Linked DNA regions of Saccharomyces cerevisiae S288C. The protein of the gene in region 2 interacts with the protein of the main gene of each other region in a biochemical or structural test. Each region holds a gene or a part of one and is shown on either strand. Other genes may lie near its edges.

What was found. The genes of interacting proteins can lie anywhere in the genome.
Region 1: the proteins of RPL22A (region 2) and REI1 are reported together in a solved structure, tested with the Saccharomyces cerevisiae proteins (2 studies listed by BioGRID).

Annotation. Positions count from the first base shown.
Region 1 is NC_001134.8:738,271-743,497, reverse strand, and holds REI1 (Rei1p), read right to left. Parts: upstream 3,658-5,227; coding exon 2,476-3,657; downstream 1-2,475. Other genes in the region: BIT2 (Bit2p), read left to right, coding at 1-737; SDH8 (Sdh8p), read left to right, coding at 922-1,338; mitochondrial 54S ribosomal protein mL54 MRPL37, read right to left, coding at 1,882-2,199; SLM6 (Slm6p), read left to right, coding at 3,110-3,562; TSC10 (3-dehydrosphinganine reductase), read right to left, coding at 3,954-4,916; Rab family GTPase YPT10, read left to right, coding at 5,129-5,227. UniProt on the Saccharomyces cerevisiae protein: Pre-60S-associated factor involved in the cytoplasmic maturation of the 60S subunit. Involved in the dissociation and recycling of other late pre-60S factors like ARX1, TIF6 and ALB1 before newly synthesized large ribosomal subunits enter translation.
Region 2 is NC_001144.5:260,665-265,844, forward strand, and holds RPL22A (60S ribosomal protein eL22 RPL22A), read left to right. Parts: upstream 1-2,529; coding exon 2,530-2,541; intron 2,542-2,930; coding exon 2,931-3,284; downstream 3,285-5,180. Other genes in the region: FRS1 (phenylalanine--tRNA ligase subunit beta), read left to right, coding at 315-2,102; BMT6 (25S rRNA (uracil2843-N3)-methyltransferase), read left to right, coding at 3,493-4,590; PER33 (Per33p), read left to right, coding at 4,792-5,180.

The DNA.
Region 1 (5,227 bases), on a different chromosome or scaffold from region 2:
ATTTACTGAAAAACTTGCCATCCTTGATAGCAAACTATAAAAGCTTCACCGTACAGGAGTTATTTGTTCTGGAGGGGAATATCTGGGGTATATACTGCAGCATAGTTGTGGAGCTATTTAAAAACAAGAGGGTATGGCAATTGCCAGCAAAAATAGAAGATATTGACCGGCTGCTGGAATTTTATATCACTTTGAAAACACAAACCAAGGCTGCCGTAACGCACTCAAGGTTTTTGGCCGAAATCGAGGAATTCATTACCACTTCACTTTACATTTTAGAGAACCAGATTGTGTTCAATTATGCCAATGAGGATACCGTAAATACGGCTTTGAAAAGAGTCGGCATAATCTGGAAGGTGTTTTACCAACAGGTTTACTACGACATGATGGCAGTGTTACTGCCCTTCGAGAAAAGCTTCCAAAAAAATAGTAACTACTGGCTTGACGGATATCTATCTGAACCTTCAAGGTACGCACCGTCAATTGATGTCCTTTTATTAAAGTGTTTTAGAGACTCCATCATTCTTCCGTATTACGAAAGCTTCCTACATACAAATGACGGTGCCAGTAAGAGTTTTCAAAGATATATTTTCAGCGAGGAAGAACAGAACGGCGTCACAGAGGAAGATAAACTGACGCTGCTGCAGTGTTTTGGGATCCTGAATACCATAAAAGGTAACAGCAGAAACCAAAGAATTATTGGTGAACTTCTTGAGGGCATACGCATGAGTATATAATTAAATATTTTATTTAGTAATATACAATAGTGGCATATAGATAGGTGTATTTCCTTTTTCTTGTTCCAAGAATCCGGAAAAACAGATGCTCTTTTCCGCCCTATAAAGGGGCCAATGGGGAAAGTGCAGATCATATTAACTTGCTAAAGAGTCAGAAAGAACCAAATAATAAAAAGAAGAACTAATGTTGTGCGCCATCAAAAGCACAGGTTATCGGTATCCTCGCACGGGAGCCTTAAATCTACTACGTGGACGACCATTTAATATGGCCACCCGAAAAATAACTACTGAAAGGATCCCCGGCCCTCCCAAGCTGCCAAGAGAAGAGCAGGAAGAGTTCGAAAGACTTCAGAGGATTGCCACATCGCAAGAGGCAATAGATCAGTATAATGCGCAGGCCACCGGCGATCGTACAAAGGAGAGTTTGAATTCACCGCTTTTAACCAAAAACGATATTGGGTCATTCTCGCCTGAATTTTCCAAGACCATACCTGAATTCGAAGGTGATGTTAACCCCAAGACTGGTGAAGTTGGGGGTCCCAAGCAGGACCCGTTGAGACACGGCGATTATTCGTTTAACGGAAGAGTAACGGATTTCTAGATATTTGGTCCGGCCAATTTTTAATAATACTATTCTTATTTGATGAAACTGCGTAACGTTCAATTTACTTTTCAATATGTATGTTGTTATGCTTTATTTTGAATATATAATATATATATGTGTGTGTTATGAAATGCATACGTTTCATGTTTGCCTAAAATCTCTTTCTTGTGAGCGTCCTTCGAATTCTTTTCGAGTATGAATTGAACCTATTTCGCATGTTTTTCGTGGAGACAGTCTTTCTAGTGCTTTTTAACCTTACCTTTGGCATGTTTTTGATCTTTACACTGGGCACATTCATACTTATCTTAGCCATGATTGACAATTCAACTATCTTGTTTCTTGCGAATTTGTGGTACTCTAAAGGATTTAATTTTTAACGTTTTGTTTGTCCCACTTGGTATTCCCCAGGCGAAAAGATATGTGGGAACTATCATGTTTTTGTTGGTACAAAATAAGGCATTATGCTAAAAACATACTATTTAACCACGTACACACATATTTATTTACAAGGATACCAAACTTGATCTTATTAACGGAGGCTTAAAGTTGGCTCAAGAAATTGTTTTGCTTGATTCGCTGCCTGTTCGCCTTCCTTATGTTCTTTCTTCTCTTTAAGAGAGCCTGTCCCTCTGGGTCCTCAGCCGCATGTTCGACAACGTGATCACTATCCAATACGCTCCATAACCAATTTGGATACTCCTTGTCCTCGAGTGCCACTGCGTCTTTACCGCTCTTCCATATGTTTAAGTTAAGCGATGTTCCCGCAGGACACGACGACACCACTGACTTAACCGTGGGTTTATTATATAAGATACGACTGGTCGATATCAACCTGTAACCCAAACTGCGCGCCAACATCTTCAGTCTTCAGCAGCTATTTCCTTTGCTGTAGATATAACTGCTTTAAGAAGCCTATTAGTTTTTTCACTTTCGAGATTTTTGCGCCAAACAAGGGCGCACAAATACCCGGCATCACGCATTTATTATATGAAGAGAATATTAGAACAGGCATTTCAAAGCATGATTCAATGACTATAACATTGCTATAGAGGGGGTAGTGAAGAATTATCTAATGTACAAATGGTGAAGCAGTATATATGCGACAAAATACTAAAAAAAGTAGTGCAAAAAGAATTACTGCAGAAGTTGGTCTCTGTAGTGTGGTTGGTTATTGACGAACTTGGCACTTCTCTTATCGAGCCTTTTCTTGTCGAACCTCTCAGTTTGCCAAACACGCTGTTGAGTCTGCACGCCCTTTTTGTCGAAGGCAGGTAAGAACGATCTCGTCTCTGCAGCGACCAGGGTACCTTGGCCTTCGGTCAGTATCACCTCGGGCTTTAAGTCTTGCTTGTAGTATCTTTGCAAGGACCTGTGGCCAACTTTGATGCCTGTCGGTAGATGCAGCTCTATACCATCGTTATATAAGTACTCTTGTGGCAGATCTTCGTCGTCGCTTCCGGCTTCGTCGCTGCCCACGTCTTCCCAGTCATCTTCGTTGTCTGGTGTTGTGTTGCTATTAAAGTTTGCGTATGAGCTTGTAAAATCGTAGAATTCAGATATCTCCAACCTTTCATCCTCGCTTTCGTAGGGAATTTTACAGTGTCTCTTTGCCAACATGTGCTGTCTTACAGCGGTCAACGTTCTCCCCTGGTAATTACAAACAATACAAATGTTCCCAAGACCAATCTTCTCCGACATGTATTTTACCAAGCCGATCTTGTCGACTAGATATTTCTGTTCTGGGATATAAAACCCGTGGGTCCTAAACATGTGTTCCAGGTTTTCTTCAACATCTTTGAAGTGCTTATTGTGCTCACAAAATAGACATTGTTCCAGTGGAATATCGACTCTGTTGCGTAGCTTTTCTTGCATTACTCTTTCCGCCATTTCTTCCTCGGTCAACTGTTCAGGCTCCTCCTTCTTAGGTTCTTCCTTTTCCTTGTTCTCCTCATTTTCTTGCAAAGAGAGCTTGCTTAGGTCGGGAGTATTTCCCTCTTGGCTCTTTTGCATGTTTTCAAGCATATTAGCCCTGGCAATTTCCAACAGTTTCTTTTTCTTTTCGAGCAATGCTTGCTTTTCCCTTCTTTTCAACTCCTTTTTGGTAACAGGTTTCTCCTTTTCAGCAGACTTACTAGTACTGGCAGCAGCTGCAGACACTTTGGAGTCAAATGTCTCAAATGATATTGGTGGCAATTGTGCAACACGTCTTTTCAAATTGTAGCGATGCCAATCGGACTTCATGTGGGCCCGCTGCTCGTCGCTTGAATCAAAGGTCAGGACACATGAATTACACGTATAAACACCACTGCTACTCATCGTATTGTTACTGATATGCTCTCTTCTTGACTTCTAATGAGAAGCATCTCATAACCTGTACTAAAAGTGGAAAGAGGAAAATTTTTTTCACCTCATCGCATCGGTACCCATAAGAAAAACTTTCAAAATATAGTAAGAAAAGAGAATAAAAATAGGAAAATATCGCCGTGGTAATAATGTTATAATTAATATTTCGTATATACTTATACATGTACAAATAGCTACACCACTAGGGTTTGTCTTGAAAGAAATAAAGAGAGTCACGGGGAATATCGGGAATGAGAGTGGATGTGCTCTCAGTTGGCCTTCTTGCCGTCATTTTCACGAAACCATTTCCTGATATACCAGGAACAGCCAACCATGTAGAATGGCACGACCAGAATGTTTGATAGGACACCAAAAATCCATTGCAACGGAACAAAGCGGCTTTTCTTTGCGGTGAGCCCAAGGTCCATCCCCATTATCATCCATCCGACAAAATCTGTAAAAACGTCATCATCACCTCTGGCCAGCGACTTGGCAATGATATCACATGCTTGTTTGCATGGGATAGCGTCTGAGGGGCCTTCGATCAACTTTGTAATTTCGGGTTTCGTTAGCTGCTCTACAGTGAAACCTTCGCTTTCAAAATTACCAGGATAAACACAACTGATACGGAAGTTCGTCAGTTCTTGTCTTAAGATTGCTACCAGTGATTTGATTGCAGCTTTTGCAGGCGCATACTGGGAATAGCCCACAAATGGGTAAAGCGCGGTGGCACTAGAAAAGATGATGAGGTGGTGTTCCTTGGTTTGCTCTGCAAGGGCAATCTGATGTGCCACGTTCAAAGTTGTTTTATAGTTGATGTCCATACCCAAGTTCAACTCATGTCCGCTTAGCCCACGAAATAACTTAGGAACAGCCCCCCCTGCACAGCATAACGTTTGTGTAGGGAGTAAATCCAAGTCTCTCAGGGCATTGAACAAACATTCCACGGATTCGTAGCAGGACAAGTCGCATGGGTAGTAAAATAACCGTTGCTCAAGGTCCAAGGGCGCAGCCAACTTATGTTGCACTTGGCCCTCGTCAGTGGTTTCCCTTCTCAGGTGAGCTTCAATCCTAATTTCGTTGCATGTGTCCAGCAGTCTAGCCTCTGACCTACTGACGATAATAATCTTTGTGTTTTCAGCCTCATTATAATATTTTTTGGCGAATTCCTTTCCAAGACCTTGTGAACCACCAGTGATCAACACAACTTGGTCTTCTAACGTAAACTTCATTACCTACAAAAGATTATACCGATAACTTCTTTTCTTGAGGCAATCTTATTTAATCGCTTCCAGTAAATGCAGAGAAACTCCTCTGCATTTTTCATTTTTTTGTTTTTTTTTTGTCGTTTATTGTTTTTTAGCCTTACGTTTCACGTTAAGGAACAATGATAGTAAAATTACTCCAGGAAATACAAGTAGCACAAAATACGGAGGAATACGATATGGAAGCAACCATCAAAGTGGTACTGCTAGGAGATTCATCAGTGGGGAAAACCAGTATAGTGACTAGGCTCAAATCAGGTAAGTTTCTAGCAAAACAT
Region 2 (5,180 bases):
AAAGAAACACCCCAAAGGGAATACCAGTGTATGTAAGGCTTGAATTATACGTATGAGCATGCGTTTGATGGTTGTCGTCAGAGCCAGTGCTCTGAGAGTGTCCCAGATGACTACAACCCTTGTATAAAAGTACATCTTCTTGATTATTTATCACGACACACGAGGTGACCGATTATTCAGAATCGGTACCAAAAAAGAAAGAAAATTGAAGGAAATGAAAAATTTTCAATGTATTTCTCGAAAGCCTGGAGTTGATCAAATGTTCAAAAAATAGGGCAGAATAGCATAACACACATCAATAACACCGAGCCAGCATGCCTACCGTCTCCGTGAACAAGCAGCAATTATTTGATCTTCTAGGCAAAAACTACACTTCCCAAGAGTTCGATGAATTATGTTTTGAATTCGGTATGGAAATGGACGAAGACACCACAGAGGAGGCCTTGAAAACCGGGGAGGAGCCGGAATTGAAGCTTGATATCAGTGCCAATCGTTACGATTTGCTTTGTATCGAAGGTATTTCACAGTCGCTGAACGAATACTTGGAACGTAAAGAAAGACCTGACTATAAATTAAGCAAGCCAACCACTAAGTTGATCATCGACAAATCAACGGAGCAAATTAGACCTTTTGCTACCGCTGCTGTATTGAGAAATATCAAGCTTAACGAAAAATCTTACGCTTCTTTTATTGCCTTGCAAGATAAATTACATGCCAATCTATGTAGAAACAGAAGCTTGGTTGCCATGGGTACTCACGATTTAGATTCAATTGAAGGTCCATTCCATTACAGAGCTCTACCACCAAAGGACATCAAGTTCGTACCATTGAATCAAACCCAAGAGTTTACTGGTGACAAATTGATCGAGTTTTATAAATCTCCAGAACAGAAAAACAACATAGGGAGATACGTTCACATTATTGAGGATTCTCCAGTCTTCCCAGTTATTATGGACAGCAAAGATCGTGTTTGCTCCCTGCCACCATTAATCAATAGTGAACATTCGAAGATCTCTGTGAACACCCGTAACATTTTGATTGATATAACCGCCACCGATAAGACCAAAGCCGAGATCGTTTTGAACATATTAACTACAATGTTCTCACGTTATTGTGACGAACCATTCACGGTTGAGCCTGTAGAAATTGTCTCTGAACACAATGGCCAATCCCGTTTGGCGCCAAACTTCAACGATAGAATTATGGATGTCTCCATTAAGTACATCAACTCCTGTCTTGGCCTAGATCAATCCGCTGATGAAATTGCTCATTGTCTAAAGAAGATGTCGTTGCATGCCGTTCAATCAAAGGAAGACAAGGACATCTTGCACGTTGACATTCCGGTAACTAGACCTGATATTTTGCACGCTTGTGATATAATGGAAGATGCCGCTGTCGGTTATGGTTTCAATAATTTGCCAAAGGGTGAGAAATTATCCAATGCCAACTTCATTGCCAAACCATTACCAATCAACAAGGTTTCTGATATTTTCAGAGTTGCATCCTCTCAAGCCACGTGGGTTGAGGTTTTACCATTGACCTTATGTTCGCACGATGAAAACTTTAAATTTCTAAGACAATCCGACAATGGTGATTTAGCTGTCAAATTGGCCAACCCAAAGACTTTGGAATACCAAGTTGTTAGAACCACTTTATTGCCTGGTATCTTAAAGACAGTCAAGGAAAACAGAAAACATTCCTTGCCAATCAAAGTCTTTGAAACCGGTGACGTTGTATTTAAAGACGACAAACTAGAAAGGAAGGCGTACAATGAACGTCACTGGGCTGCCATCTACGTGGGTAAGAATTCTGGGTTTGAAATCATTCAAGGGTTATTGGGTAAAATCATGCAAACTTTTAGAACAGAGTGGATTGCAGACTACGGTGCTGCTGCTTCTGGCAGAGGTTACTGGATTGAAGAAGACGATTCTGTGAAAACCTACTTCCCAGGTAGAGGTGCCAAGGTCATGTTCAGATCCAAAGAAGGCGCTGAGCCAAAGCAAATCGGCCACTTGGGTGTCTTGCATCCTGAAGTCATGATGAATTTCGACGTTCCATTCGCTGCATCCTTTGTAGAGGTTAATGCCGAAGTCTTCCTATAATGTAATGTTCTAACAAAAATTTTTACTGATTTATAAAACTTATATAGATAGATAGACACATATATATATCTATATATAGAAACACAACTAAAGTTTACCATGTTTTATATAATATTACTACCGCTACTGAGTAAATGTTTAGCTTGTACTTAACTTTCAAAGACAGTTTTTTTGATAAACATCAGTACATTTAATAATACATCCATACATTTATGTTAATTTGTTTTTCCTTTCCACCTCAGTGCGCTTCTCTTTTGAAAAAATCCTCAACAGGCCACGCGAACAAATCTTACCGAGAATTTCCTAAAATGTTTCAAACTATCATTTAGCTGCATACAATATGTACATTATTAATTGAGATTAACAACTTTACCTGTACTTTACCGTTATCAAATTATAAACCACCAAAACAACAGATTAAGAAACAATGGCCCCAAACGTATGATACTTTAAAAGGAATCCACGCCCGATTACGAAGTCTATGTTTTACTGTTATTGTAATGATTGATTGTACGCGAATAACAAGGAAGATAGTAAAACCAAAAAAAAAAAAATAAAAATGTACGAAACGAAGAAGCGTCTATGTGTTTAGTTGCTTTTCTGTATTTTAAAAATTCACTACTTGAACATTGAACTCTATATCGACTCCCTTCTTTTTATCCGTTTCTGAATGTTTTTTTGTTTGAGATTGTCATATGTGATTGTTAATAGCAGTAGGCAACTTTGTGGTTTCGGGATTGAAAGAAAATCGTGAAATATTCGTTTTTTACTAACATTACTGTTCTGAAAATTTTTACTAATTTTCAATCTTTAATTTTTTTGATATAGACTTCCAGAAAGCAAAAGATTGCCAAGACCTTTACCGTCGATGTCTCTTCTCCAACTGAAAACGGTGTCTTCGACCCAGCTTCCTACGCTAAGTACTTGATCGACCACATCAAGGTCGAAGGTGCTGTCGGTAACTTGGGTAACGCTGTCACTGTCACTGAAGATGGTACCGTTGTTACTGTTGTTTCCACTGCCAAGTTCTCTGGTAAGTACTTGAAGTACTTGACAAAGAAGTACTTGAAGAAGAACCAATTGAGAGACTGGATCAGATTTGTCTCTACCAAGACCAACGAATACAGATTGGCCTTCTACCAAGTCACTCCAGAAGAAGACGAAGAAGAAGACGAAGAATAAATTCATTAATATTATTTTAAATAGAGCATAAGTTTTGTATAATTAAAATCTTCTAAACCTAATAAATATGTTTAATGAATGATTCAATATCAAAAAAAGAAATCCATTGGGCCCTTAGTGCATTTTTATTTTTTTTTTTTTTTTTTTTTTTTTTCTCTTTCTGAATTAGAGTACATCTCATCGCAGGGTCTCTTTTTGCACGTTTTTGATGTTGCTTATGAGACGCTTTGCCTTTTTAACTTCTTCAGTATATTTTAAATATATACCAATTTATTCACAATATCATTACTCTTCTCAGTTTCCAATTAACATGAATCCTAAAAAAGTGGCCCAATTGCCCGTTCACAATAAATCAACGCTTCCACCACAGGAAATAATCGATCTTTTTAAAATAACATTCTTAGAAGAGCTATATCCAAAAGATCAAGACAATGAAAAGTCACCGTTAACTGAACAAATACAGGCGGTAAAATCTGACCTTTATAACAGAGATTACAATGCTGCTTTCAATAACGACTCGAAAAGAATAGCATATTGTTGTCGTTGGTCACCGTCCAGAGCAACAAGTTACGCATCAGTATTTGCACATTTCCCTGAGCTTCTAAAGATTATCAGATGCGAAATTGATGACAAGGACTCAAATGTGCTCTGCATAGGTGGCGGCGCTGGTGGTGAGCTGGTTGCATTAGCGAGCATATTCACTTTATCGAGAGATTTTTCGTCTAAATTTGCCTCTGCTTTGAAAATAGACAACGAAGTAAACAAAAAGCCTAGAAATTTAAACATACAACTAGTAGATATCGCCGACTGGTCCACAGTTGTTGAAAAGCTAACAGCTACAATAAAGTCGAAATGGCTATATGGTGATTCAGAAGCAGAGTCATTTAACGTCAACTTTACCCACAAGGACTGCCTACAAATGACAGAGCCACAAGATATCAAGATATATCAAGGCCTCGACCTAATAACTCTACTTTTTACTACAAATGAACTATTTACACAGAAAAAAGTGGAGAGTATAAAATTTCTGCAACGGTTAAACGAGAACTGTGCCCCAGGCTGCCATCTTCTCATACTAGAGAGTGCAGGAAGCTATTCTCACATTACCATCAACAACAAGAAGTTCCCAATCCAATTTCTTATCGATACTATCTTAGTAGGCAATAGAAAGGACAAGGGAACGACAGGTCCATGGTCACTAGTATCCGAGAACGACAGTATTTGGTATAGAATGGACCCAAAACTCGACTACTCGATTCCATTGGAAAACATGCGATTCTTTTACCGTCTTTATGTCAAGAACTAACAGGCTTTATGACGTTTTACTGTTCTCTTTTCATTGTTCTTTTCTCGAAGAGTTTAGAAAAATTTTTTTTCTTCTCATCCACACCGAAAAAATATTAATAAGAGAGTTGAAAATTCGATTTGGAATCAGAAATAAAGAAGGGGCCACGATCAAACAAGACTCATTTCGAATAATTGTAAAAAAAAATTAGCACAAAACAATATGACCGTTCCCAGGAATCGTCCCATGGCACCATTTGGCACCATTATCAAATCAAGAATAAAACAACCCCAGTTTTATTGGTTTATAGGCCATTTTTTAACCATCTTTAACTTTATACAATTTCATCTTTCAATCACGTCCAAACAAAACCAATTGTCATGCTATAGAAGATCATTATTTTACATATCCGTTACATATGCCATCGTTCTTTACCAGTTTTTCAAAAGTGACCAGTTAAAGTTCAATTTTACGCTTTTGCGCCAAGAGATGAAGAAATTGGATAATTTGCAGTATTTTGCCATGCTATTCATACTTTTTCTCTTATCACAGTTTAACATCATAATCAGCGGCTCGTTATACAGTCCCGTTATCTTTTCAATCTTTCACTT